2 linked regions of the Drosophila melanogaster genome follow. The protein of the gene in region 2 purifies or fractionates together with the protein of the main gene of each other region. This does not show direct contact. Each region holds a gene or a part of one and is shown on either strand. Other genes may lie near its edges. The genes, in order: mRpL1 and bru3.

Evidence for each region.
Region 1: the proteins of bru3 (region 2) and mRpL1 purify together in Drosophila melanogaster (affinity purification with mass spectrometry, with the first as the bait; one large-scale study listed by BioGRID). This does not show direct contact.

Annotation. Positions count from the first base shown.
Region 1 is NT_033777.3:8,295,739-8,306,862, forward strand, and holds mRpL1 (mitochondrial ribosomal protein L1), read left to right. Parts: upstream 1-5,701; 5' UTR 5,702-5,773; coding exon 5,774-5,964; intron 5,965-6,018; coding exon 6,019-6,328; intron 6,329-6,385; coding exon 6,386-6,949; 3' UTR 6,950-7,032; downstream 7,033-11,124. Other genes in the region: CG9626 (uncharacterized protein), read right to left, coding at 1-407, 467-587, 656-917, 977-1,292, 1,346-1,575, 1,635-1,782, 1,844-2,209, 2,279-2,455 and 4 more; nac (neuronally altered carbohydrate), read right to left, coding at 7,061-7,273, 7,327-8,050, 8,111-8,187; Sgt1 (suppressor-of-G2-allele-of-skp1), read right to left, coding at 8,848-9,384.
Region 2 is NT_037436.4:13,793,430-13,804,766, forward strand, and holds the start of bru3 (bruno 3), read right to left. Parts: upstream 5,099-11,337; 5' UTR 4,595-5,098; intron 1-4,594.

The sequences.
Region 1 (11,124 bases), on a different chromosome or scaffold from region 2:
CCGGAAATTCTTGCGGCGCAATCGGCGCGGTGTCTCCAAAACTGAGTGGGTATCCGCATCGCTGCTGTCGCTCTCCGTCTTGCTGTTCTGCCGGGAACCCATTTTTCGCAGTCGCAGCAGTTTTTTCTTAGCAGAAGCACTTGCACTGGTTGCACCATTATTGGCAATCGGATTGGCATTCACGGTGGGCAAACTGGATCGGCACAAAGTGCCCGTTGTGGTGCTAGTCTCCGTTTCATGCTCCATCGGTGAAGCTGCACTAGCACTGTTGTCATCCTGAGCCAATCGATCCCGGCTGGAGTTGTCGCAGGTGGCATAGGCCGAACTGGAGTCCAACTGCTGCCCATCCTCGCTGGTGATGTTAATATCCGGCACTAAGTCTCGGGGATACCGGTTGCTTCCACCCTCTACAAAGTCATTAAGATTCGAATAAGGTACGGTTCGGTTAAGTGGAAGAAATTCTTACGTATACTCAGCTTAAGGCACTGCAGGCATTCATACAGTCCTTGGAGTTCCTCCAGATACTCCAGCGTTCGCTCTTGCATGGTTTCTTGGCAGCAGGCTTCGTCCAAAGGCGATTTTTGGCTCTAAAATGATAAGTATTTAGCAAACAAATTGGTAAACAAATAACTCAAATTTTTAATTGTCATCTCACCAGCTCGGTTAGTCGTCCCAGTTCGCTCTGGACATCGGATATGGCGTTGAGCACGCCCGCCCTCATCAGGTTGTTGGAGTAGTACGGATAAATGCTACGAATGCTAAGTAATGCGGCCTGGCAGTCCCGCATGGACGGGTGTTCTAGCAGATCGGGCGAAGCATTCTTCAGTTGGCCAAACAGCTCATCGGCACGTTTCAGTGCTCCCAGCAAGGGGGCCAGATTTGTGTGGGACTCAAAGCTCTGGACGCGACGCGAATTGCTGGAGGGAATGAGAAGCCATCAGTTTACGTAGGATCGGGTATTCCAAATGGCACCTACACATAGTCGTTACACTGCACCTCCTCGTACTTATATATGGGCGTCTGCTGCTCCACCAGAGTGTGAGCGGTGACCAGTGGAGAGGCGGTGTCATGAATGTGCTCCTCCACCTCCACCATCACAGCCTCCGGCTCGTCGTACTTTTTGAACTCGTGATCGGTGAGGGCGTCGGTGTCCTCGACTTCCTTCAGATCGTTGACGTCGTTTAGAGAAAGGGATGAAGCCTGCTGGGAGATGGCCTGGGCCAGGTTGCAGTTGGGTGACACACTGTCAAGGGACAGTGAACGGCTGAGAGTCGGGGAGTGATCCGCTGCCACTATAGAAAAGTTAAGAATTAACTTCAGATCGATCAGATAGTTCCATACCCACCTTTATTGCACTCCTTGTTGATGCGCCTCACATCTATGGGACAGTAACCAGGATGCAGCAGGGCAAACGTGGATGCTTCCGGCCCGATTCCCCTAGCTTTCTCCCACTCGTAAAGCTTCCTAGTGAACTTCCTCGAGATGCCCTCAAACTTCATCACCTCTCCATCCGAAGTCTTGACCTCAATTTTCTTGGTATGATCCGGTACCACAATGGCCTTTAGGCGGGACAATCTATCCAAATATTCAAGGTTTAGTCTTCAGAAGAGAAAGATTTTCGGCTGTCTACAAACTTCTCTTTCTCGTGCGGCCTATGCTTGTACCATCGATCGTCATCGGATCCCCTTCTTGTACTCTGACTGTGCTTGGATCCTCGCTTCAGGGAGTCATTGTCCGAGGTAGTGCCGCCACCAGGAGCGCACTTCAACCGATTCCACTGCTCTGTGGGCAAGGCATGTTGTTAAATATGACTATAAAAGGAAAAACCGTGCCAAATACCAACCCAACTTCTTCTGAAACTTCTCGGGCAGATCCTTCTGATCAGGCAAAGCGCACAATCCTTGGCCCTCCAACTTCACTTGACCCATGCTCCACAGATTCCAGTCAATCTTGGGCTTAACATCCCCACTTTGGCTCTTGGCCGTGGGACTTGCTGCTGGTTCTGATGAGGTGATTGATCCTGCAGAGCAATTTTGCTGCTTGGCCCGCCACTTGGTTAGCTTCTTTTTGAACTGTGGGGTAAGATTCTGCTCCAGCTGGGCTGTGGACATGAGTTCGTTGTGCAACAGTTGGGTGGGCGAGTGCTCCTCGCTGCTGCGCTTTCCACTACCAGCTCCTCCTCCGGCTGCTCCACTTCCCAGTTTGACACCTAAAATGGTGGTTTAGCATTGATTAGAGGCTTATTGGATATGTCTTCAATGTTTTTGAGGATCCCTACTGCGGTTGCTGGCGCTGGAACGCTCTAACTCGAGTTGCTTGCCCTTAAACTCTGAATCTAGTTTGAGTACGAGAAGTTGATAATGTTGAAATATCTCGTCATCGGCGTTCTGTGGGAAATTCTTACAGTTTGGCGTAGTGGGTTCCGAGAAATCACCACTGGATAGATCCTCGCTCTCTGCAAAATACCACAAGGTTAAAGAAGTTTCGTTATGACAAAGGGATTGTGGAGTGAAACCATCCCCTCTTGGACCTACCAAATTCACCAAAGAAATCCGATTGCCTGGAAGGACTGCTGGGCACCGAGGAGGTCCCCGGCGAATGGACACGACGCATGCGCGAATCCTTGGGACTCTTGAGCGGAGAGTGCAGTTGTGGCAGATCACTATACATCTGGTTCACCTGGTTGAGATTCAGTGGACTCGGTGGCACCTTTTGTCGACGACTGCTGGTAGCCTTAATCTCCGCCACATGATCCTCTGGCAGGACCTCAAAGTCGGAGAAGGCTTTCGACCTTCGCAATGACTTGCTGGATGATGATTTGATTGGTAGTGGCGGAGCTGAAGATTTAATATTGTCCAGGCGTTCGTCAGTAGCGGATTTTCGTAACTCCACCTCAAAGTTGGAGTCGCGGGATTCGCAGCGGGTATCACTTTTAGAGGAATCACGACCTGGAAAGGATTGACATTACTCTAACGAGCTGTAAATTAATTATTATTAAGAGAATTACGATAATTCTGTCGGGTGGTGGCCTCAAGATCATCCATGGAGCTGGCCGAACTGATGGTACCAGGTGTCCCACCCGTATCACTCATAATATGACCAGAGGAGGAGCTGATGATGCTGTCCGCGGAACTGCTGCCGGCTGCCGCGCTAATGGGCACCTTGAGGTATCTGAAAAATAAATAAGCAATAGAATAACGCCAATGAGAGTAACAATCCGCAATACAAACCTCTCCACCTCATGGTTGAGTGGCATCAAGACGTGGTTTTCCAGAGCACCTGGTCCCGAAGGCGGCACATTTGCCCGCTCCCACTTGAAGGCGGCCTTGACCTTGGTCCACTTGGACACCTTGGCCTTGTTGTCGCTGTAGGTGCTTTGACGCCTCAGGATATATGGTCGCGAGGAGCTCAGCTTTAGACTGGGACGATCGCCCTTCATGAACACGTTTATGTCCTCCTCCATCATGGACTTGCTACGCTCGCGAATACTGTATAACAAAGTGTAATTTTGTTTTTGAATTATATTCATACGCAAAAAATCATAATCACCGTTTAAACTTTCCCTGCTTGAAGGGCGGCACCACCTCAGTGCCCATCAGAGATTCTAGCCAGGTAAGGGAGTGCTCCAGATCGAACTGATGGTCAGTATTGTTGGAGCGAGGCGGCTTGGTGGGTGGATGCTGATTGGCAACTTGACTAGTGGAAGGAACATCGTCATCATCAACAACTGTCAGCTCAGCTTCCCGTTCACCCGCCTCGTTGTCGGTGATGGTGGCTAGTCGGTGCTCCAGAAATCCCTCCAGCAAAGCGTACGTGCGAGTCAGCTCATCCATGGCTTCAATTGCCGAGTTGAGGCGAGTTTTCAGCGGTTCGATGGTGCCCCGATCCGCCCGATAGGGCTGGCACTTGGAGCAAGAGTGCTTACCCAGTTCGCAAACGGGCAGATCCTTGGCCTCTCTCCTCTCGAATTTAGGGGAGGCGGAGAGATTGCGGGCACGGGAGGCCACCGCCGGAAACTGGAAAATGTTCTCTTCCGTGCGACCGCACATCGCCGGCGGAGCGGTGGGCAAGGACTCATAGTGCAGGACATTCTGCCGGGATCGCGTTCGTCGGGGTTTTGGCGGTGGATGCGGCGGCGGAGGTGGCTTGTCCCACTCCATCTCGATATCGCTCAATAGGAACTTGTTTGTTTACTCTGCCCGATTCGCCACTAAAAACGCACACAAGAAAAGAATATCCGAGAATTATCAAAATCGGGAGATTGTTTATAGAAGAGGAAGACCAATGTGGAACGTCCGCCGCCAAGCACACACACACACACAAACACACACACACATACAAACGAGTCCTAAAGTGTAACGATTAAGTCCGCGAAATGTAAACAATATTTTCGAAAATCCCATTTCAGCACGTTTTCCCACATGTGCGAAAGTTTTGAATCTTTCCCAAAAATATGCACGCGTGTGGTCACTTAACCGAAACGGAGAACCGATTCGGAATGCACTGTGTTATTGTGTTTTGGGTCTTGATTACGCTTTTGGCTCAACAACTGGATGCCATCGTGCGTCGGGAGGCCCGCCGAAGAACAAATAAAAGCACGCCGCAAACCAAACTATTTATAAAACGCTGACACTCTTTTGTTTGCCTCCCCATGGCGATCGCACTACGCCACCACACACACCCAATGTGCCGCTGGCCCCCTTCTCGATTCCCCATCGCCAAGTGCGCAACACTTCCTTTATTCCACTTTTAGGTTACACGCAATTAATATTTCCAATTTATGCGAAAGTGCACGCACTCGCGAAAGAAATGTGCTGGATGGATGGATGGACGGACGTGGACCGGTGGATCAGTGGGTGGGTGGGTGAATGGGTGGATGGCTGGTGCTGGGATCAGATCATGTGTATCTGAAGTCGGCGGCCCCCATTACTTTCGCCACTTTCCGAACGTTATATCGAAACTGTTGCCACACATTGAATACACACATTTTTCTTTTCTTCGCTCGACTTTTCTTCCTGGCTGCGCTTCTTTTGTTTAATGGGTTTATGCGCAAGGTTGTCGGTCTATTTTTGGTGTTTTGTTGAAAGGAAAAACAATAACAAATTATTACTTGCACTTTTCCTACTTGCACACTCGGTCGTCCGACCCGCCGCGGAATTTTCATCGGCCACTCGCTCGCTGTCTCTTTCTCTCTCCCTCACGGATACTCGCGATTTTCCGCGACTTTGAAATTCCGTATACGTCCGTTCCGTTCGTCGGTCGAAGCTATTCTGAGCGGTACGGCGCTTTTGAACACATCGGAAAAGTTGAAAATTTTGAGATTTATTTATAGAGAGAACGGGCAGTGTTTTGATCTCTTTGCTGATTTCCAAAGGTCTCTTTGAATATAATTAATCAATGGGTTAATCAGCCCTATAGTGGATTTCTTATTGAAAAATAATAATTAAAATTCAATCACTATGTAATTAAATGTATTTTTACAATTTATGAGATAAAAATTGGGTGTACAGGTTCATACCCAATTTCTAACTCATAAATTATTATTCGAATAAACGCACCTCAAAATAGTTTTTGAAAAAGCCCGTTAAAAACATTGACTTCAATTCGTGCTATTACTATTAGCCAAGTTTACAACCATGGTTCGTGGTCAGGCTTTTATCAGCTACAGTGTGGTAAACAGTAGTTTTCCGACGAAGAGTTGGCAGTTCTGGCCGGCGAGGTTATGCAAAGCGAGAGGTTTGCATTCCAGTAAATAGTAATATTTCTGAAAGAAATGCAGTCCATTCTGTCTTCAATGAGGGCACTGGCCCTGCGCCAGAGCACGGTGGAGCCCCTCCGCCTGCTGCATCTTTCCGCCGTGAGCGAGGCGGCCCGTAAAGGAACTCGGGAGAAGGCCCGCAAGAAGAAAGTCAAGGTGGAAGTGAAGAAGGTTGGATTCATCCCGCACAACCAGCGCAACAAGAAGTAGGTTGTCAGCTCGATGTCCATAACACCGGATTTACTATCGTTCTTCTCTAGAATCAATGTGAAACGGGCGGACAAACATGTGGATGACTCCTGGAAACAGGTGCCCAAAGATGACTGCTATGTGGGGCGCTACTACCGCTGGCCAGTGTACTCGGTGCAGGAAGCTATCCAGTGCCATCGGGAGACGCATCATCCCAGCATGTACAACGTACCCAATGCTCCCCTCAATTTGGATATTGAACTCAACATGCAGGCGGAGAAGATCACACGTTTTGTGGATAACTTCCAGCGCATGGCCATGATTCCACACAAGTTTGACCACGGCGAGGAGCGGAAGATCATAGTTTTCACCAAGGGAAATGTGAGTGCAGCTTCTTAGTACAAAATCATAAAATAACATCTTGAAATTTATTTCCAGAATGAAGTCCTGGAGGCCAGGGAAGCTGGCGCCTCGCTAGTCGGCGGCGTGGAGCTCATTAAGGATATTACCAGCGGCGAGCTGCTGCTCTCCGACTACCAGTACGTCATTGCCCATCCGAATATACTGGCCGAGCTGGTGGCCCTGCGAGGCCTGATGAAACGCAAGTTCCCAAATCCAAAGAGCGAGACGCTGGGCACCAACCTGGCCGAGATGATCGTCAAATTCTCCAGCGGCATTAGTTACAGTGCAGCCAAGGATGAGTACCAGCAAAACTTTGGCCTGATCACCGCCAGTGTGGGCACTTTGGACATGGATGTCCAGAAGCTTGAGGAGAACATCAAGTTCCTACTGCAGGATATTAACACTATGAGGCCCAAGCGCGAGGGACGTTTCATTACACGTGTCCTGCTGAAGAGCCCGCCAAGCAGTGAGCAGCTGAAAATCGATCCCTTTGTCTACGTTCCAGAGATGTGGGACAAGAGCACGGCGAAGGTGAAAAGGGATGGGGCCAAGAAGCAGACAGAGCCGGCGGAACCCCAAGAAGCAGTTGCCTCCAATTAGTTAAAACAGAAGCCTATGTATTTTTGTTGATGGATTGTTTGTGCATACTTTAAACTTACATCTCCTAGAGTCCTAAACAGTCTACTTTACTTTGGCAGCTTTTAATTGCATTCAGGCCTTCTGGGTGGCGGTGCTGCGTTGTTGGTGCTGGCGCATCATCTCCAGCTGCTTGACACGGGTGTAGGCGGCGCTGGCCACCAGGACCACCACATTGGAGGTCCACCAGAGAGCCGATCGAACGTCATGGTAGTACTGAGTGGCGATCACCGTTTGAGCGCAGGCCTTGGCCGTTCCCGAGATATTATGCGTCAGGGCGGATGTGACCTGAAATATCGATCGGGCTAGATAAGCGATTAACATGTGAATTGTTTGATTACCTTGATTTCCAGCGCAGTGACAAATCCAATGGCAAAGCCACAAAGGCCACTAAGCGTCATCGCGGCCCAGAACCAAGAAGCCCACAGGTGCGGATACGTGATAATGCTCTCCAGCTCGCCATTGATGATGATCAGGGGCAGGAAGAGCAACGTGGAGTAGAGATTATTGTAGTAGCTAAGCAGCCATACCTCCTGGTTGACATAACCCAATGATTTCTTCGTCTGAATAGAAAACATGGCCAAAGCAAGCGAACTAAGCACTCCAAAGATGGTTCCCCGCCAGGAGAAGACCTCCGTCAGGCTTTCTTGGTCCACACCCAGCCAGAATCCAACGACAATAGCGCCACAACACAGCAGGCACTTGAAGCTGGTTCGTTGGCGTAGAATCACGTAAGTGAGGACCACACTAAACACGGTTGTTAGGGAGCGACCGATGTAGTAGAAGGCCACTGTGACGTAGGACAGCGACAGGTTGTTGGCCCCAATCATCAGGGTATAGAGCACAGATAGAGGCAGGATCTTGCGGAAGGTGTCGATGTCCAGTGGATTTCCCTCGGGAAACGTAAATACCGAGGGGTACTTCCTGCTCAGCCGACTTGCCACAAAACATATCACTGTGGAAACCACGCATTGGAACCAGGACATAAAGAGCGGAGCTCCCAGGTTTACTGTATCGCTGCTCAGCAGGTGCTTATTTACGAATACCGTCAATATCGAGGTGCACCTGTGGAAGAAATGGAACTGCAGGCGGCGCACAGATGGAGGGTTCGCACGCATTACTCACCAGTAGAGCGACACGACGAAGAATATCTTTAGGTATTTGTTAACCAGCCGGTTGTGCTCCTCCAGATTCTTGTACATTTCGGAGTTTTTAGGAATTGCAGAGCAATTTGTGCGAGCCAAAAGTAATTGTGCGTTTATTTTTACACGTATCTGCTACCCGGTCTGCCGATCAGCTGTTTTCGCTGAGAACGTTTCGGTTGAGTGCGGGGGTGGATTCAGCAGTTGTTCGTTGTGAGATAAAATGAATAATGAAATAAAAACAATCAGCACAAGAGTTCAACGACAGTTTCTTGCTCACCTTTATTGTGCGTTTTCAAAATGCTCTAATTGAAAAAAGTTGTTGAAAACTGTTGATTTAAATTTATTCGTTACAAATTAAATACATACATTATCCAAATCTTATTCTGTCGAGTGTTTTAACCAAACTTGTTACAGAAATAAAGTGCTATGATATAACAAAATATTAATTAAAATACATTTATGTTGTGAGGTGCTCGAAAGAGTGTTTATGTGGTGGATTCATTAATTTATTTTACAGCCTAGTTCTTTTCTAGGAAATATAAACATTTTTGTGTTTCTGAAGTTCCTTTAATGCGTTTATTGCCACTGTTTTCCTTATGATACTCCTCTGTACTTGCTAATTCAAGTCGACAATCCCCAAAATGTACACGTTATAGTAATTATTCTCTGTTAATCTCTCTCGCTGACTCTATAAATAAAGGAGTATGGCCATTTCGCCTACTTCTCCCACTCGCGGAACTCGGTTCCATTTGGAGGCTTCACGGTGACTCTTTCTTTGCCCACCTCATTCCAGTTGGTGCTGAGCACGGTGCCTCCGGACTCCGAGAAGGACTTGTTCATGGCCTTTTGGACCTCGGGCGAGGATGAGCTGTAGATTTTCTTGAACAGGTTGGTGAGGGCCGCCTCGCCCTTGGCCTCCTTCTCGTCGATCTTTTCCTCCTCGCTGACCAGCTGGTCCCAGTTCTTGGCCTTGGGTTTCACCGGTGCAGCCACGATGGCCTCCTCCAGATTCTCCCACCGAATTCCCGTCTCCTTAGCCAGTGTGATTTCCACTTTGGTCGAAAAGGCCTTGTAGGAGGAACGCTCCACAACAATGGGATGAAGCAGCTTCAGGTCCAACTCGTAGCCATCCGCCGTCATGTGGACTCGCTTCTGGGTAATCTCCACAGCATAGTTCTTATCGACGGCGTTCTTCAGGAGCACGGTGATGACCACCTTGGTCTCCGACTGGTACCAGTCGTGGCGCACGGACATCTTGCTGCTTCAGCTGGTACTGGAAATTGGGAATTGTTGAGGATTCCCCTATAATTGCTTTCGCCCACTAAACGGGGTTAATTTTATTATTATCTGGAATTATCTAGAATTCAATACAAATGAATGTGACTAAAGGCAGTGCTACCAGATATAAAATGATTATCGACAATCGATTTTTTGTAGCTTAAGTGGCAGCGCCTATTAAGTTTCAACATTCAAACGTCGATATCGATAAGTATCGACGAACCGGTTCAGAAATCAGGGCTGTGAGCGTGGAATAAGGTGTAGCAACGACTCTAACCTTAATGGAACTGTTGGTGCGGCAAGTAATTTCCAGCACTGCAAAAACTTAAATTAAGGCGCCAATTTCCCTTTTACAAATTTGATTTTTTTGTTTGAACTTTTCATCACGATTGAAATAATTTCAACAGACTAGAAAGTTGTCAAAGACAAAAAAAAGGTTACAAGTTCTTTTTTGCAAGGATACAAATCCACGGGAAATTATTTGAAATCTGCTCACACCAACTGCTCACTTCAACTGCAGCCAACTGAAAACAAAGTTCTAGCCAATTTACGGGCACTTTAATTTCGGTACTTCGCTTTGGGGAAAAAACAGCAGTCGAAAGCGCATAAGTCCCGACGACAGCAAACATAAATTCCAGTCGTCTGGATCCACCCCCCTAAAGAAATCCGCATAGTCAAAGTTTGTCCAAAGTGACAGCAGAATTGAAAAGTGTGCGAGGGGCTGGGCAAGTGGCCCAGAAACTATTTACTGCTCTAAGTTTTATGACTTGCACTCGACTTTTTTTGTATGCTTGCCTTTCCGATCAATTGACAATTATCTTGTGAGAATTGAAGAACAGCTGCTAAAATTCGGAAGACACGCCACTTTTGCATTTAAGTGTGGCAAACAAATTTATTCACAACATAATTTTTTCTCTTAACTTATAACTTTACTCTAACATTATAACTTCGCATATTTGCATCTATAAATAAAATAATAAATAAAACTAAAATATGAAATATGGAATATACAGTTACATTTACATTTCACGCGTGTTTTATGTGCAATTCCTGTACAGATTTGAGAAAATGTCGAGAATAACATTTTATTGCATTCATTACATTTCATTAACATTTGCATGCGAAGGGGAAAATTTAACAGAAGCGTTCTATTCCATATTATTATAGAAATGTTATATTTATCGCATGCGAGAAACCGAGCTATGTAAACTAACAGTCTGCATTCGCGCTTAACAGCTGTGCTGAATAGAGAGGGGTAAGCTGGCTGTTAAAATTTGACACGTGTACACGGTGTACATAAAACGACGTAAAAATAAAGTAGAAATGCTGTTTCGCTCTGATGAGAAAACCAATTGGAAAATATCTAGCCAAGTCAAATTGGAATTTAGTAACTAAAGATTATAAAGATTTATATGTACAGTAAATATAGGCAACGAAAGCAAATGAAAACTATGGCTATTTAAAGTACTCATCACTTGGCCAAAAACACTCTTTCACTGCTTCCACTTACGACAATTAACTGTAAATTATATTTTCCATCAAACGCAATCCGCTCCCCTCCCCCCGGCCAACGAACGCAAGCTGGCATCTCGAAACCGAAATTTATCGAAAACTTTTAGTAAAGCAAATATTGACGTGGTTTCGAGTGGTTGGATGGCTGCGCGGGTGGAGGGGATTGGAGTGCGCTGCACTTGGCGGGAAATGCACTTGGACGGC
Region 2 (11,337 bases):
TTTCGTCCACATTAATTTCTAAAAGCATTTGCCATTCATCGGGATGCAGAGCCCCATCAGCGGGTCACATTAAAAAATTAATTTTTTAATTGAAATACAAACCTCCTGGCAATCCGGAGAGCTCCCAAAAGGGGTGAATCCGTGGGTGGATCCAGGACACTCCACATTTGTACGTGTGTATGTGTATGCGTTCAGTTGGCGGGGGACAGACAGCTGCTGTCGCTCACTTAAGTTAATACGCAAACCAAATGTCACTCAACATTATCAACAGCAAACGTAATCAGTTAAAACTTTTTCCTGCCTCGCTCTCCGTCGCTGTTGTTGTTGTTGTTTGTTGTTGTTGTTATGGGCCTAAACCATTCCACAGACCGACAGACTGAATGACAGACAGTGGTTATTGTTGTTGTTGTTGCTGCTGTGCAAAAAGTTGGCAACATGTTTGTACTTTATTTCAATTTTGTATGTCCTCTACTTGACTCTGCTCCGACAGGCAAGCCAACGTTGTGAGTGCTCAAAACAAAGGGAAATAAAAGCACGTTTTACAACGAATCCTAGATGTTCTGCCAAGCAGCATGTGTATTATCAATGCCGATCCATTTCCTATTAACTTATTGATTTTTGCAAACATAACAATCCTGCAACTGACTTGTTGTTTATGATACAACTAGACATAGCCTTGTAGCTATATTTCTCCTAATCTACAGGACAATGAACGAATTTCGTCAAGCAACTAACTACCCATCGACTGTGCGCTATTTCCTCGAAAAAGCATTTTTTTTCTATTTGGTTTCACTTTTCGGTGAATGAAAACTGAACACCAAACTGTAGGCTGAATGTCTAAATTTTGCTTTGCTGTTGAGGGCCGCAACCTGATATAGTCCTCCTGCCTTCGCAACGAGCTTGTCGTAAGTGCTCGCGGGTTTTTGCATATTTTTGGGCAACTGCTCGCGCCGCGTCACTTTCCAAAACTGCTAACAAAGGGCAAAGGATGGGGCACGGAGGCAATGTGGAGCGGTTTCAGAAGCGAAGTGGCGTGTGTGGGCCACTTGACAGCCGTTTAAATGCATTAAAAAATTACCTACTCTAACATGAGCAATGGAAAAACGGGAGGTGGTGGCAAAAAAAAAAAAAAAAAACACAGGCAAACATGTCAGCCGCCCAATTTCACATGTGACAGAAGGGCGGAAGCGGGAGAAGCGTGAAGGGCTACGTGGATGTCACGCTCGACGGCAAAGTATGGAAAAATCAAATCCATTGCAATTGCCGTTCGATCTAAAGGGGTCAACATCAAGGAATGGATTTGTTCTGGGCAGGCGTGCACATTTTCAGAGACCTACCAAACAAGCTTCACTCAATCAGAAAGCAACTTCCTGATTTTGAAGGCCTCTATTGAAAACTCATTTCAAAACTTATTCACATCGTCTATGGAATAATATAAGCTTTGTGACGTATATATATTATAGATTAAGCCTTTATCTTAACATGTAAACGAAAGATTGGCGCCCAACGTTTTTTCTATTTGTTCTTTAAGAGCGTGCTGTACAGAACTTAATTTTTTAGGACCAAAACATTAGAGAACATCTAAAATAAAAGACTTAATAAATATTAAAAGTGGTATTTGTAAATGCGAGCATGTGAAATCATTATTTCTGAAGAGCTACAAATCCTTTTCTGATGAGTTCATCCTTTTTGTTAGGATATCAAAGAAAAACCACATATACCGGAGGAAACAACTCAGCGGAATACCCGGGCTGCAAATTACGGACCTGGGTGACTGACAGCGTCCGACTTTTTTTTTTTTTTTTTTGGTGGTCCTGTCCTGTTCCGGGTGCAAAAACGCATTACGCATTCACTTTGCTCAACACTTGTGTTCATTTCATGCAGCCTATGCCCATCCTCTCGCTTCGATCCCATTACCACTGCTCGCTTACCGCACTCTGGTCTGTGTACTTTTGTTCAAATATTCATTGCAAATTCCAATTTAATTTTCGCTTAAATTGGCAATACCAACAGCGAAATCTGCAGTTGATAGCGCCGCTGAAGTTTGTTTTCTTTAAAGGTATTTTCAGTTTTACCTGCGTGTTGGTGTATTTTTTTTAGTGCCGCTTTGCGCAGATTAACATATTTAATAGTAACTGAGAAAAGATATCATTAAATAGGAACGAGTTGTACAATAAGTATTTTGCATATTTTATTTCCACATCAGCATTATTATAATTTTATCTCGCCAATTTATCAACTGCACCATTTAAGCTACGAGTTGTGAAGCACTATAAATTAATTAGAGTTTGTGAAACAATTTTTGGCACACTGACTTATAATTGAAACTTTCCTACAAGTGCGGCAATTGCTAAATTTAAAGACGCAAAAGTAGAACCATAGAACGGAAAAAGTTGAGATAAAGGTTAGATAAAAAAAGCTTAAATAGGCTTAAATAGTTTTCTCAATTATAAAGTTTATACTTTCTTATTAAACTTCCTATCCCCTTGCTTGTTTATACAATTATTCTTAAAGGTAATTTCACCTAAGGCGACAGCCCATTAATACCAATTTTATATTAGTACATTTACGAGATTTGCTTTACCAGCTCAGTATGCACAATATAATAGTCTCATGCTGCGACATTCTTTGCTTTATTGCCTTAAGATTTATGTCATTGAATTGGCCTGATTGGGCCAACTGGGTATGAACCAACTTGGCATTCTTTCCAGTTTCAATAAATGGGCACATGCTGCGTATGAGCAATATTTCAATTACATTTTAAACGCTTACCAATAGATTTCATAATCTTTCTTTTACTATTCATAAGCTACTATTTGAAACTTTTCATTGAATAAGTTGTCAAAGGAGGACATGTTATAAACATTTCCTGTGAGAGAGACAGTGTGTTAGAATTGCCCTTCAAGGGGCCTGAAAAGGTCAAATGGCAACGTAAGTCAACGCCGCTTCCTTTCACTTCATTATTACTTTCTAATCCATACTTATTCTATTTCTAATTAAACAATTAATAATATAAATTTTTCAAACTATTATAAAAAAAGGAAAATAGTGAAATCTTATGTAAGGTTATTGCTGTTAAATTTTACCCATTGATGTTGCAAGCGATTGCAGTAATTTACTAACTTACTTCTGGGTGAAATGGAGAAATTATGGCTTATATAAATCGCATTGATAAATCTCTGGCCAGCACGTAATATGGAAATTAAAACACAACTCAAACAAAGAGCAGTCTAGAAACGGCAAAAACCATCTCACCCACATGCACATTTACTTGCGCGCCAAATGTTTCCTCACATGCAAAATGGACATGCAGCATTGTTTTAATTTTTTAGTAACTTAACAAAACGAAAACGCGTTTGGTATGTCCAGGGTTCGCAAATTACAGTGTCTACTTTTTGTGTTCTAAGTATAAAAACGGCAATTAAAAATTACTATTCCCTAAGCGAACATTTAAGATTAAATACTACTAGTAATATCAATTGGTCTTAAAATGAACTCGAAAATAGTGGAATATATTGAGAACATTGTAGGAAAATGTTTTCAGGCCCCAAAATGAAAGAAAATTGTCAAATGCAAGACTTGTCTCCAAATCAAGCCCTAGATGCCAGACATTTGTGGTCGGCCAGCTAGGTTTCTTTAGCAGTCACAGGAAAATCTGGTCTATTACGTTTGTGACCCAACATTTTTGCAGCCTCATGGCATGGGAAATGGAAAATTGTTACTGAAAATCGCAGACTCCTCCAGACCCAGGCATCCGTTTGCAAATGTTTCAAGTTTAAAATGAGCGTGTAATTAGAAATGTAAAGAGGGTAATGAGGAGGGCAGCCCAGGGTAAACGGAAAGTGGAGTCGAGTCAGCTGCCGAGCAAAAGTCACTGCTGCGTCTCGTCCCCAGGAAATGTACCACGCAAACGAAGAAAATGGCGAATAAAATTGAAATAAAGTGGTGCAAATGCAAAAACGTGCACACACCCGTACAGCTCACCTCGCCGCAAAAGTGCAGCAAGCACCACCTCAAACCGTTGGAAGGAGGTTGAAGTTTCTGCTCCCAACAATGAGTAGCATAAAAAGTTATGTATAAAAATCTTTCGCTATTTTTTGCTTGCACTTCCGTTACAAGGCGAACCGAATTTGCATGTGACATTTGTGGTTGGGTTTTTGTTGATGGATGAGGGTCGACAGATATCTTTGAATCAGCAAAGTTGGCTGATAAAGCCATGAACGACGTTGTGTACGTGTGTTTAAATTAGAAAAAACTGTGATATATTTACCAAGGGAAATGCAATGGTATCTTAATTACAATTTTTGATATGTTTTGATAATAGTTAGAGGATATTAAAAGATCGCTGCATGAAAGATTAAGGAGTCTTTTGTGCGATGAATTAAACTATAATAATACTGTGCAAATTTACTGAGATAGTCGTTTGATTAATGTGGGCTAAAAAAATAAAAAGAGAAACGGACATATATCAAAATATAACACTATGAATATGTAAAGCATCTTCTTATTCTATGAAACTTTTGACTAAAATCATTTTAATAATTTATATTTTCAAAAATAATTGTTTATCAAAAGTGTTTATTTTTTTACTTACCACTTTGTAACGCCCAATTAAGCTGTAAGCGCTTTAATAGCCAAACATTCGAAAACACGACGAAAAGTATTTGTTGTTTTATTTGCTGTATAATTCAATTTGTTTTCACGGTTAGCATATGTAATATTTACTCTGCATATTTATTCAATAATAAATATAAATTTGTATTTCATAATTTTTTTTTTTTTTTCACCTAACAGTGTTTGCTGGTATTTAATGATCTGGCGCACCTCCTGGTCTACACGGTTTTATTACACATTGCATTAGGCACTACATTAATTCCTGATGTTTTTGTTGTATTTTTTAATTTCGCTTACGCTGTTTGCAGAATTAATTTATAAAATATTTAAAGAACGACGCGCCGCAAGCTTTTATTTTTGGTTATTTCTGTTTGTGTTGTTTTTTTTCCCATGAATTATTGATGGCGTTTGTTTTGTATTTTGTTATTCATTTATTACTTTTGATAATATTTTTTGCAGACGCTGTAAAACATAAATGCACAGTGATGTTTAAAGAGGGGGTGTAGGGGGGCGTGTTACAAATCCATATGAGGGCGCGTAACGGCGTGGCGATAATAAACATGCACAAACACAATAAATTTTACATTATAAACAGCAAGAGCAACAAAATGTACAATTAGCAACAGCGAAAGCATAAATTTCGGTTAAGAGTTTAAACGCGAAACAGCAAAATCTCGTATACGCCATGTGAACGCGTGATAATTATGGCTTTTGGGCACGCAGTATAGGCCACAGAAGATATCTTGAAATTGTTGTGTATATTTTTTACATCACTTTCCCGACATCCTGCAAAATGAGCGCTGAAAGCGAAATGTTTTCCAGCAAGGACATGGACGCGAGGTGGCAAGGTCTGTCAATAGCTAAAGTTGGCTGACGAAGCCAAAAACAAAACACTGGCTGCGAAGAAGCCAAGCGCAGCCTTTTGGCAGCTGGAAAAACACATATATGTACACGTCTTTGTGGGCGCAGTCTGGGCTAGTAAAAGGCAAGCGCGGAGCAAAAGGACTCTGGCTGTAGCGACAAAAAAGGAAATCAAGCCAAAAGCTGAGAAAAAAGCGCAAGCGGATGATGAGACCTGACTGGCCCAGAAGAAAATGAAGAGAGAAAAGCGGCGAAAATCCAGAGCCAAGTGATACAAAAAGGATACTCCTCACCCATTTAATGGCGAAGTGTTCATTTCGGGGAAAAGTACATCATCCTTTCTAGGTGAATACTATGAGTAACAGTCATTTATCGGTGCGGTGTTTATTAAGGATACTTGGGCTGTATATCTAGCTTGCGGAGAAAAGCGAGATCTAGGTGACAAGAAAAGGATACTTCTTAGCTATTAGAGAGATGTTTCTTAGTATATGGATACTATGATTCCTTGTTATTTATTAATAAGATTAATATTACACAATAATTAGCGGAAAAGAACGAAAAAGAGGCCAAGAATAAATACATTTCTTGCTGGATACTATTCTCATGTGCCTTGAGCAACTGACGCGGACAATGACGTGACAATGAACAATTATGGGTCAGTTATTGGCCATCTTTGTCCATTGTCATTCTCTTCATTTCTTGAAAGATCCCCTTTTAATGTGATTTATTGATTGGAGGTCAAACTTTATACGTCCCACTACCTCGGGGCATATATGTATATGCCATAAAAAAAAGGCAGAGAAAACGTATTTGTCATGCCTTCCACTCTGTTATCTTTCTATCTTCTTTGGCCCTTATTCTTTTGCCTGTTTAGCCATTTTCCATGATGACTTGGCTTGTGTACGCCCGACTAGGTTTTTGCTATTTACACACGCCTACATGGCAGGGGTCCCCTTCTCAGCCTTCAGAGGCCATAATATCTTTGCCCCGCCAGAATGGCTGCGTCGTCTGTTTTATAATTTTCACAGACGTCGCCCCCATCACAAGCCCCCCTCCCCACCATCTTTCAAGTGCCCTGGGTTGACACTCGCACATTCAAACACTTCATAAAAAAAGCCGCGCTTGTGCCCATTATTTATGTATATTTTCACCTACATTTATTTTATTTATGGAAGGCAAAACGAATGGAGACAGTGAAACTAAAAAGGAACGCTGTGAGTTAAGATGAGCCAAAAAGCCTAAGGGAGAAACATCGAAAACACCAGATGAGAATGGAAGAGGATATCTTTAACACAAAAAAGGAAGGACTTTGCCGGCATAAAAAACAGGCGCTATTAATCAGAAGCTCAATTTAAAGGCAAATTTAAAAAGCTGCGAAATACTAGCGTTTATACGTTTTTTTTTTTTCAATATTTAAAAAATTTTTACACTATTTTTTGTGTGCAAATAAATCGGTTAAAATAAATCATATTAATTTAATTATAACAAATAAATCGAAAGAACTGCGCAAATAGAGAAAGAGAAACTAGTTTTAATTGTATCCACTTAAATCAGCCAGTAAAGCTATCGTTGCTGAATTTATCAATTAAATATTTTTTCTGCTCTTGTGAACCCAACGCCAAGAACCCAATAAACATTAAGTTTGTATGTTTGCTTGTGTCATAATAAGCATATTTAATAGAAGCTGTGCCTCCACTGCCGCGCAGCCATGATGCATTTGCATATATGTCGGGGCATAAATATATAGAACGCAATTTATATATGCATCTAGTTAAAGTTTTTCCTCTTTTTGGTTATGGCAGCGGGCGGAGAAGGGTGTTGACTTGACAGGCGTCGGGGGAGGAGGTAGAGGTGGTGGAGGGGCTGAGTGCAGAGGGCACGTTCGGATGAAGCCTGCACTTGTCACGCCTTGTCTTCTTCTCATTCACCATGTCTATGTGTGCGCGTGTATGTGTGTGGGTGTATGGGTGTATATGTGTGTGTGTGTGGCGTTATTTGCATGGGGGCGTGCGTGTGTGTGCGGTTTGGCCTCGTTGAGAATGCAAAACAAAAACACAAAAATGAGCAAGCGAGATAAATAAAAAGGACAACAGTGGAAAAAAAGGACGAGACTTAGAAGGCAATGCCCGTGGCTTTCTGGGTCTGCCCATAAGTGTCTGTGTTTGTGGATGTTTACTTCTGTGTATGGATTTGACGACATTTGCTATATTGTAAGGACCAAAACAAGCTTAGATCACACTACTGTGGAACGATTTAAACAGAGAGAATCCTCTCAAAGGCCCTGGCAATTCTGGCACCATTAAGTTTTGTAAGTCAGCTTAAATGCTTCTTTACAATTCGTCTTGTTCCTTACATGTGGGTACAATTTTGGTATTTTTAAAGTTTTCGTCTTTAGTCAACTACAATACTATTTTTGCCAATTTTCTATTTCTCGCCAAAATAACGTTATAGATTTTTACAGCTACTCACTTAAATGCCACAAAAAGGGGAAAAAATTATTTTTAATAATCGTCACAAATCTTTTCATCCGTGCGCTTCTGCCATCAAAGTTAGTAAAAGTCAGCGGAACTCGAGGAGTTTTAAAGTACTCATAAAAAGAGAGTTCAGAGCTGAGGAACTTGAACTGGGTATTGTAACAAAATAAAGCGTAGAAAATAAAGGTTGGAAATAATCAATAATGAAATGAAGGAGTTTGCCGAAACTTTGGCAATAAGTGGTTTTGGGCTTGGCTTCCCTCGGGCAGACTCCGTAGGTTTTGCTTAATTTTGATGCCTTACTTAAATACCAGGCAAAAGTTGGTATAGCAACAGATGCAGCTTGCGATTAAGCTGAACTTTTTGTGAATATTTCTGTCGCTTAAATATTACATTAGTCTGCCTAAGCCCGCCACTCCTTCTTAACCACAACGGGGTAATGAACTCAATGCGCGAGAGGCAGTCAGGCTCTGGAACCACAAGCTTAAGGGGGCAAACTAATGTATATTAAGAAAATACGTTTGCTATTATACGAATTTTTAGTACACTTTCTGCTAGACTCAAGTCAAATAATACACTCTTCTAGTTATCTTTTATCACAGGGTAAATTAATTTGAAGGCGCAATTTCCATTCCGAAGGTCAGTTCAAATTACTTTTCATTTTAGCATATCCTTAATAATCCTTATTCCATCAGCTTGGTTAGGGTATAAATAACAGGCCGCCGCCTGTAGCGATTGGCTGCACAAATGGAGCGTTTCAAGCCGGCAGCTGCAGCTGCTGTATCGAAAAACAAGCCCCTTTGCACGTGTACGTGGCTCTGTGTTCTGTGGGTGTCAACAATTGCACAGCTGGGCACACATAGCACACTCAGACACACACACACACACACATATACGGCCACAGAAACTAAGATGCTGGCCAAGGAAGCTGCGCAAGTGGAAGAAATAATGGCTGTAGCGCCTGGGAGAATCAGCAGCAGTTGCCTCACTCACACATATTTAACTTATTGTGAGTCCATGGGTGGACAACTTTAAAAGGTTCAGTGTGGACAGGCAGAAAGGACCTCGGAAGTAGACAGGACCATAGGTCAGTGTATAAAATGTGATCAACATTTTTATGGGACGCCAACTCTTAACTTCAATTCAAGCACACTGTGCGTATGAGTAATGTCTGTTTAACAGGTGGGAGTTCGATTGGAAAAGTAATAGCCTGCAATGCTTGGAAAGTGTTTCGCTGAACATAGTAAAACTATTTTAACGTTTTGTGTCTGCTTAAATTGTCTGAATTTATAGCGGTCAATTTGAGCAGACATATAAGCCGCGCCAAATTGCTTAGTTAGCTAAATAAAAGAAAACTAAATCTCTTTAAGGATGGCAGTATAGAGTGGATGGCTTTGGCAACTTGATTTATATGACTATGCTTCACAAATGTATCCACTAACAATAAAAATCGTATAAAGTTTTAATGTAATTTAAACGTGCGGCACAGCAAACTAAGAAGTAGCAGGACAACACAGTCAAGACAAAACTGAAAACATGAAATAACTTTAATTTCAAATTATTGTTCTGGACGAAGATGGCATTCAAAGCAGACACGCTATCAATTTGAAATATGTTTTAAAAAGCTTTTCCAAATCAGCATTATTAAAATGAGTTGGTAATTAATTGCATTTTCCGAAATACTTTTGCTTTCCACCAACGAGATGTTGTCGAATTTTTGAAGCACAACTTTCACTGGAATCACAAACACTGGGGCCGAAGGGTGGTGGCTTTTGGAGGGGCTTTAATTCTCTTTGACGCTCGTCAAAGTTACGGGCCAAAATGTATCAACACCCGACTCGTCGGTTGGATGGCCAAAACAAGCGGTGCAGGATCTGGACCGAAAGAGGAGAAAGATGACGCCGACGATGACGAGGGCGATGGCGATGACGATGACGAAAACTCGTAGCACAAACACGGAGGAGGCGACAACAAGGACGACGCGGTGGGTGAACGACGATAAATGTTTACAAAGCGGCTACTGCCACACAACTGAAGCGACAGGATGCAATAGCTGGCAATGCCAGGCGGCTGCGGAACGAATGGAAATGGAGCAGTCAAAACACGACTTCGGCTTTTCCGAAGGACTCTTTTTGGGATGGCCGACAGTGGTGGTCGTTGTGTGGGTGGGGTTTTTGGATTGGGTGGTGGTGGGGTTTTTGTTTTTGCTTCGGGAAAGTGAATTCGCCGGTCGAAGTTTGGGTTGCCTGACTGCCTTTTTTTCTTTAATTTTGGGGTTGGTCATGGGGATTTCGCTTTAACGGGCTAACTAACCTACCGCAAAAAAACTGACTCTAGAACTTGTAAACATAAAGATAAGAAAATAGCCAAATGAATTATTCAAACTTGCACGAATGTAGTCAGGCCTGACTGCTCGTGCTGCTGGCGCCTGCGCTAGGACCTCACACATGTAGTGGTCCTAGGACGACGAGGCCTAGACTAGAAAATAGGCCTAAGCGAATCAACATTAAGCAGGAGTGCAGCCCACACACGCCGCTTGAGACGCTGCCAAAAAGGACGAAGGACTAGGCGATAGTGGGTGGTGGGTGGATAGGTGGCTGGTTGGCTTGAGTGGGTGGTGGAGCAGAAAAGCTGATGCAGCGCGAGCGAAAGTTTAGAGAACTGTGCGGAGTATGCAAAACCAAAACAAAGCCAAATTAGATGGCGAAATCAAAGCCAAATGCACACGAGTCTCTTTGTAATTGCCCCGGCGATTCTCTTTTCAAATTTCTCTGTAAAACTCTCTCTTTTGTGGCATTTTACGCCTGTGTGGGTGAGAGTTCGCAGTTCAAAGTTATTAGTAAGGCAATACTTAGAAACGGAAGGACTTCCTAATTAATACATGGGCACAGCAAAGCAAATGTTGACTTGTAATTGAAATACCAAGCTGCAAAGTGAGTCACAATTGATTAATGGCCTGACCACCAAGAAAATACCATCTAGATATAAGAATTACACGATCTTTAGGTCCATAATCAAATTAATATGCCTTGCACAGCACGGAAGCCAAATAGAATCGCATGAAAGGTGATAATTACCATTGAAACTACACCGTTTCCATCCCGTGACTTTGAACTGAAGAAGCTCTATATTTACCAAAATTCCCCTCCTCGACGGACTAGCATGCAATCTATAGTATAAGTAAAATGAAAGGAGTGAAAGTTATTTCTATAAAACAGCAACTGTTCACACATGAACACGAATATATTTAAAGACTTACAATTTTGGGCTCCGTTCATATCTTATGTAAATGAATCGAGAGCGATAAATTATATTTAGGATTTTGTTATCTAAGGCGACATGGGTGCATTGCTCAAAAACATGTAATTTAAGTGCACACTACATGAGT